Coturnix japonica: one gene and its partner. The protein of the gene in region 1 purifies or fractionates together with the protein of each later gene. This does not show direct contact. Links are inferred from orthologs where the notes say so. Each region holds a gene or a part of one and is shown on either strand. Other genes may lie near its edges.

The links. The genes of interacting proteins can lie anywhere in the genome.
Region 2: the proteins of FKBP5 (region 1) and PRKAA1 purify together in Homo sapiens (affinity purification with mass spectrometry; 3 studies listed by BioGRID and IntAct, with this or other methods). This does not show direct contact. The link is inferred for Coturnix japonica from reciprocal best matches to the Homo sapiens genes FKBP5 and PRKAA1.

The regions. Positions count from the first base shown.
Region 1 is NC_029541.1:464,082-467,832, reverse strand, and holds the start of FKBP5 (peptidyl-prolyl cis-trans isomerase FKBP5), read left to right. Parts: upstream 1-1,585; 5' UTR 1,586-1,646; coding exon 1,647-1,691; intron 1,692-3,351; exon of another isoform or gene 3,352-3,529; intron 3,530-3,751. UniProt on the Homo sapiens protein: Immunophilin protein with PPIase and co-chaperone activities. Component of unligated steroid receptors heterocomplexes through interaction with heat-shock protein 90 (HSP90).
Region 2 is NC_029547.1:11,799,374-11,803,024, forward strand, and holds part of PRKAA1 (5'-AMP-activated protein kinase catalytic subunit alpha-1), read right to left. Parts: intron 2,712-3,651; coding exon 2,467-2,711; 3' UTR 1-2,466. UniProt on the Homo sapiens protein: Catalytic subunit of AMP-activated protein kinase (AMPK), an energy sensor protein kinase that plays a key role in regulating cellular energy metabolism.

The sequences.
Region 1 (3,751 bases):
AGGCCCCACCCTTCTGGGCCCCCCCTGCCCCTGTGGCCCCATTGCAGCTGCACCTCGGCCATCAGCGGGGACACGGCGTACTCACACTGCGGTTGTGCAACCCCAGCCCTTCGCCTCCATAAACACCCGGCTGCTGCAGCACAGGGCTGAGCTCACACCATGGCACAGCTCAGCCCCCAGCCTGGGCTGGGACACAAAGTGGGGAGCTCACAGGGAAGAAGGGGAGGGGTGCAAGGGGGGCACCACCCAACAAACTGCTTTGCATACCTAAAAGGGGCAAGGGGCTCAGTTTGGTGTCTCCATTGCTGCAGGAAGGACTCAGGGAGCAACGGTGTGCTGGGCTCAGAGGTGTTGCGGTTTGCAGGAGGGAGGGAGCAGGGGATGAGCTCCTCTCCCTCTCCCTCTCCCTCTCCTCTCCTTTTTCCTTCCCCTTCCCCTTTTTCCTTTTTCCTACCTTTGGGCAGAAGGCTTTGCCCTCACACTGTACATGGTGTGGGAGCACATCCCCAGGTTGTCACCCCAAGGGTACCCAGGTGTCAGCATGCCCAGCTATCACTTGGGGTGCCCAAGCTCAAGGCTTCACCCTGATCCCTGTCCCCACCAGGGACAGCCATATGCCAGAAGGATGACTGACGAGGGACAAGCAGTGCCCTGGCAGCTGTGCGGAGCCTTCAGAGATTATTCCTGGAATTTTGCTCCAGAGGAGCAGATTTCCTCCTGGGATGGGGCAGGCACTGGGGGGGAGTGGGAGGGAGCAACACACCCAGCACCAGGGCTTTGCACCCAAACCATGCAAGACTTCCCCCTGTTGCAGTGCCACGCTGCAGCACGTCCCCACTCTTCCTATGCCCACGGCTGTCTCCTGTGGGCCCCAATCCTGCCATCACCTCCCTGCGCCCCATGTCACTGCTGGGGGCTGCAGCTCCGCTCCCAGCCCAGCGCAGCGGGATCTTGCGTAACGCTGTGCTACAACACCCAGGCACTGCGGGCGGGTGAGGCGAGGACAGGGCTGCACCGTGCATTTCCTGGCATGGGGAAGTTGACGTCAGCTCGTGCTCTTCTAACATCGAATTTCCTTACAAACACCAATTGCAAAGTTGGGCTGGGGGAGGACTGAGCCCCCCCACGCCGCGCTGCTGCTACAGCCGCTGGAAGGGCTCTGGTACAGACACCCCGGTGCCCTGCTCCAATGCAAAGTCTCGTACACGTTTAGTTTTCTCTGCACGTGAACAAATGGAGCGCCGCAGTCACGCGCAGCCCAACGCAGCCCCCACAGCTGCAGCTTTGTAGGATGTTGGCTTCAGCGCGGGATCCTGCACGAGGTGCAGCTGTGTCAGTGATGCCCCACACACTCACACTCACACTCACACTCACACTCACACTCACACTCACACTCACACTCACACTCACACTCACTACCTGGTGGAGAGAAACGCAGTGATTGGAAACGTCTCGGAGCAGGAGCCGGGATCAGCGGGTCACACCGCGGGGCGGGGAAAAGCTCTGATTTGCATACCGCCTCCACTCCGGCCAATGAGAAAGCGTTGCGGGCGGTGTGGAGCAGACGGGCGGACGAAGCTACCAATGGGAGATGGGGAGAGGGGCGGGGCGAAGCGACGGGGAAACCCGGCCGGCGCGGGCGCGCGATGCCACTTCGGAGCCGAGCGGTGGCGGAGCGCGGGCGGCAGCAGGTGGGGCTGGGATGGGGGTGATGGGAGCAGCATCACGCGTGGGGCCGGGATGGGGGTGATGGGAGCAGCATCACGCGTGGGGCCGAGCCGTGTCGGTTGTGGAGTGTGGAGAGGGGGGAACGGAGCGTTACGCCCACGGAGGGGGCGAGGGAGGGACTGAGGTCCGTAGCGCTGCGCCTTTGGGTGCGCTCCGCTCGTGCCCACGGAGCAGCGCATCCCTCGCGGCAGAACCGGAGTCGGACTGAGATCGAGTTTGAGATTAGGATCGGGATTGGGGTTCGTCTGGCGACTGGGACCGGGATTAGGATTGCGATTGGGGCTGGAATCAGGATTGGGATTAGGATCGGTATTAAGATTGGGACCAGGATTACAGTTGGGATGAGGACCGAGGCCCGTCGGTACTGCAGTGTCCAAAGAGGGGATTTATTCTCAGTCAGAAAATGAGGCTGCTGCGCGGTGAGGATTTAATGAGTTTCCTAATGGCATTGACCAAAAATACCCCCGAGTGCAGGCAGCAACGTGCAGTTTTATTCAGGGCAGGTGCAGCAGCGTGGACAAAGTAAATGGGGCGTCTGGTTCAGATCCCACTGTTTCCTCTGCCTGTAGTGGTGTGGGTCTCCCAAATCATCTGGATTTTGTGTTTGTTTTTTCACCCAACCCACACCTGGCAGGATGTGCTGCTGTCACCCCAGCTGTCCCCTGGCTGTTCTGACCTATGGGAGTTACAAACTGTAAGGGGTAACCCAGGGTTGAGCCAAGTCAGTGTCCCCGTGGTGCTGTGGCAGGGGATGCCGTGTGAGTCCTGGACCCCATCGTGTGACATTACACTGCCTTGGTGGGCCAGGATGTGGGAGAAAGCAGGGAGAAAATAGAGTGGGAGTAGAAGATATGGGGTGGGAGGAGGAAATATGGGGCAGGAGGAGGAATGTAGGTTTCTGTGGAGGTGCTGGAGATAGTGATAGCTGCTGGAACCCTGGGAGGGAAAAGTGCACCCGATGGTGAGATAGTAGGGAGTGGCTCTGGATGCAGCCATGGGGTGAGCCTGGAGGTGGTGCTGGAAGAAGCCTCTGTGATGGCTGTGGTTTGGCTCCAGAGGTGGCCATGGGGCAGCCATAACAGGGCCCTGGAGGTGGCCACACATGGGACCCGGTGCTGGGGAACCCGCAGGACACGGGCTGCATGTTCCCGTGAGGTCCCCTCCCCTTGGGACGAGGAGGGACTGGGGTCAGTTCCCTGTGAGCAGGGGGAGAGCAGCACCCGAGATTTCTAGACAGCAGACCCCAAACCACCCTGCTGAGAACGCCCCTGTGCAATTAGGTGGGTTTTAATTGCAGCCAAGCAAAGGAGAAGGCTCACTAGGAAGCTTGGAGGTGCTCCACCTGGACACCCGGGCCTGCCCACCTTTGTTAGTTCCTCAAGGATAATTAGCTGCTAGATGAGCCCAGGGAGAGGCGGTCTCAAGTTTGGCCAATGCTTCCACCCCATTGTTCGGTGCTGATAAAGGCTTTGCTGAGCTCTGAGCTGTGCCACTGCTTCTCGGCTAGTCACTTTCTATGCTAGTTACCACGGGAGTCTGTGTGCTGCAAGGAGGTGGGGAGATGCATTCCAAAAGCATCCCTGGGCACCTGCATAGCGCCTTGTGTCAATCTTTAACCCCCAGCACAGGGAGAACACCGGGAAACACTGCCCAGATAGGAGCAGACCTGCTTAGGAGCTGCAGAAATTGGGGGTAAGGTGCTGCTAGTGGTGTGTTCTGCAAAGTGGGGAATCTCCGGAGCTCTGTGAAGGAGCTGCTCGCAAACAGTAGTGCTGCTTGTGGAGAATTGCCCTAATTAAAGGTATTCCCACTTCAAGGAGTTTTTAAAATTTACGTTAGTTGCTTAATTAAATCAAACTAGCCCTTGGCAGTGTTGTCTTGGTTGCCAATAACAGTGTTTCTGGCTGTCAGCGCAGTGTGCACTGTTGGTGTGTGCATCACTGGTTTGTGCATACTGGTGTGTGGTTGCACACGTGGTTGTGCACACGTGGGGTATGCATTTGTATGCATAAGTGGCTGTGCA
Region 2 (3,651 bases), on another chromosome or scaffold:
TGACCAATTCACGTATTCACATCAATTACATCCTCACACTCCTGCTGTTTTCCTCAGTGAGGTTCAGTCTCACAGCCTGACGGGATGCAAAAGAAGATCTCCAAGCTCAGTAGGAACATCTGAAGAAAGCAGCTCCAGAATAAAGATCTACAAAGCGTAAGAAAGTGACACAACAGACAACTGCACCGGATTCAAAATAGGATGTCAGTCCCCTTCCCCACTCCCCAAACCTGTATTATAAAATCCCCTCGGTTCTATCACAAAACTTTTGGCCATCAAAACTGTTGCATCGTGCCAACAAAATTCAGACAAGAGAACAAAGTAAAATCCGCGGCTGCCATAATGCACAGAAGGGCCAAAAGAAGTGTATGTAATTAAGAGCTGCTCGCACCTTTTCACCAGGAGCAGATACCATTAGTAAATATTTAGTTAAACATATGCAAGAGGCAGTTTTAGTGATCCCAAACAAACTCCAGATAAGGAATTACTGCAATAAAAAAATCTGTGCGTTTGTTACATTTGTACAAGTGCAATATTTAGGTTTCAAAATAAAAGGATAACAAAATGAGCACACCTATTTATTCAGAACATCAGAACCTTTCCTTACATGACTGAAGAAAGGACTTAAAAGTATGATTGATAGCTGGTCCCACATACTGTCATCTCAGTCTCAATAGTTCAAACACAATAGTTTTTCCCTAGGAGAACCCTTCCACTCTGAGCTACATATATGCTATTCAAAATATAACCTTGCACTACAGGGACCGTGCGAGACACTACTTGAGGACAAGAAACTGAAGCTGTACCTACATACAAGACAGGACACACAATTGCCCAGTTGAGAAGAGCTACAGCACTTCTGAGGCTTAAGCATATCTAAATTTCTTCAAATTTGTAACAGAGGAATTTCTGGACTGAAGCCAACTGGACTGCATTACACTGTTCTTGTCATCTGAGGTTAGCAGCGTGTCAGGGATGGGATCTTAGACTCATCACTGGCTAGAAGTCCCATCCATCCTAACAAAGTCCAGGTTACACTGTTTATATTAATGCCTTGATTTCCAGTTTCTAAATGGGAGAGCAATCTTTTAAAGCCATGTAGTCTATCTCAAAAAGAAAAATCCCCTAATAAGAAATTAAAATGGTTTATGGCAATTTACTGATTAGCATTTACATCCATCAGTGCTAGATGAAAATGGAACTGTGGGTACGTACATCCAACTTACAAGATATTTAGCATTTTTCAGCAAATATATCTGATTCAGCATTTAAGGTCATCTTCTTAAAACATTTCTTCTGCAGTTACAACTACTGTTATCTGTGACTGCAATCTACATTTCAAAACCTCCTAACCATTAACACTTTAGTTGTCATATTCAGCTTTAAACATTCAATGGAAAAACAGCACTATTAATTTCCACAATTTAAGTAGTAAAATTTGTTTGAGGGTAGTCCGGAAAAACTAAGCCTATCGATAAGTTTCAACTGCAATGTGAATTCTACATAGCATATAGTAAGTTAACATGTGATGTAAGCAAACATATCTAAGTATTAACTTTTTTTTTTCTTTAAAGCGTGTCAATTTCAGATTGCAGAATAACATGCAACAACCCCTAGGCTGTGCTCTTAACTACATGCATTTACTTCTAAGGATTCTCAGCCTGCCAGTAGCTGTGCTGCTACTACACTATGGTACGAGCTAGCAAACCTGCACAGATCAGGAGCTTGCTCACAGTGCTTTAGAGCAGTGATCTGTTTCAGGCCATTGCATGGCGTGTCTTCTCAGCATTGTCTCTCTTGGCACTGCTGTGGCTTCAACTGTTCTACTTAATCCCCAGAGAACTGTACTCGTAACTGTGCTGCAGAGCACTTACACGTACTGAAAATTCCAATTGGTTGGATTTGCCAACATTTACTCAAGTGCATCAACTATTGAATGGCATATTACAGCACATCAGACTTTGTTTAAAAATCTCATTTACTGCTGAATAAAGGGGGAAGGAACAGCAGTTTTAACACTTTACTGTTAGGAGACATTAACTGTTCTGATCAACTGAGGCACAAACGTAGACAGTGACCAACAAGTCATACTTAGGTCAATGAACTTGTAAGCGCACATTTTCTTACAGTGCTCCAGAGGTATGCATCACCAACAAGAAGGACAAAAAGGACCATGTAATGTAAATGTTATATAAATACTAACGTGCACTCAATGAAAATGTTACAAGCACTGCCAAGGGGCATGTGACTTCCTGTACCTGTATTAAGCTACTGGATAGCAGAAAATCAAAATTCACTCCAGCTTCAAAGCAATATACCTAATTCATAATGATTTAAATCCCCAGGTAAATTGCATTTTGCAGCTAGTTTTTTCAGCGCCTTAATTTAAATTGATTACAACTGGAAGCATCTGACTACAATTTATGCATGCTTATTGCTGTAAAAGAAATAAGCCCACCTTCAAAGTTATTGTGCAAGTATTTTAATAAGATTTGCACACATCTCAAAAAATTCTATTGTATGACTGCCAGGTCTTGGAGTTAAGTCAGCTGTCGAAGAATCAAGTGAAGAGGTCATTGATGAGGTAAGCGACGTATCTGCAGATTTTCCTTGTGCATCACCATCTGAGTCTTTCTGACATGATCTGTAGTTGCTCACAGAACCTGATCTCTGTGGAGTTGCAGTCCCAGACTTTGTTTCAATAATTTCATCTGAAAAGGCCAGTAGAGAGTAAAAAATTAGTCATTCACATCAAACTAGCCAGAAGATCAGCAAAATATTTTTCCCCTCAGACTTAATCTTGTTTTTAAAATCCTTGTTAACATTTAAACAGCTCTTGTGAAGTATATATAGTTAATACAAAACAAAAGCTTATAGAAGTAGTAACAGAAGCAGTCATCCTTATGCAAATTGGTACAGTGCTATGAACTGTGCTTCAGGACAATATGATCAACATTAGACGAGCAGCCATCATTTTCCAGTCAGTAAATAATTTCAGTGGCTAACAGTTCAACTGATTTACTTCATTTATCTTTAAACTCCCATAGTTATCTGTTTAAGCTTAATAACAGTTCAAACATTTTGTACATACTTTCTCCTAGCATCTACTTTGTTTTTATTGTATTTGGTTATTTATATTTTATTTCTAATATTCTTAAGACTAATTGTGCATTGATTGCAACTATTTACAAAAGTGAAAAACAAACTGATGTGTTTCTTTTAGAATTTTATACACCTTGAACTATATCTATAGCAACTTAAGCTTACCTCCCATATTAGAAAGAAATACTTCCATCTTAGAAGCAAGGTCTGCTGAAGTATCTTTTACCTTACTTTAGAAACTGAACATTAGCTTGTTATTAGACTCACACTTGTACCTTAGAGTTATGTCCAGGAAAAATTAGTGAGTAAAGGAGGGACTGTTTTTTACATCAGTCAAATCTACTTGAAACTGCAGTCCCATAAAAGAAATACTTAATAGTTATTTGTAGCAAAAAGAAATACCAAATCAGCTTCATGACTGAAAAGACAGGCTGTCCTTTCTTGGCTGAGTGGCTCTAGGCAGTCTTCTTCCCTCCCACTGAACTGGTATTTTTCTTACATTGTTAGTACAGTAAAGTGATTAGACCCTTTTATGAAGTATCACTGGAT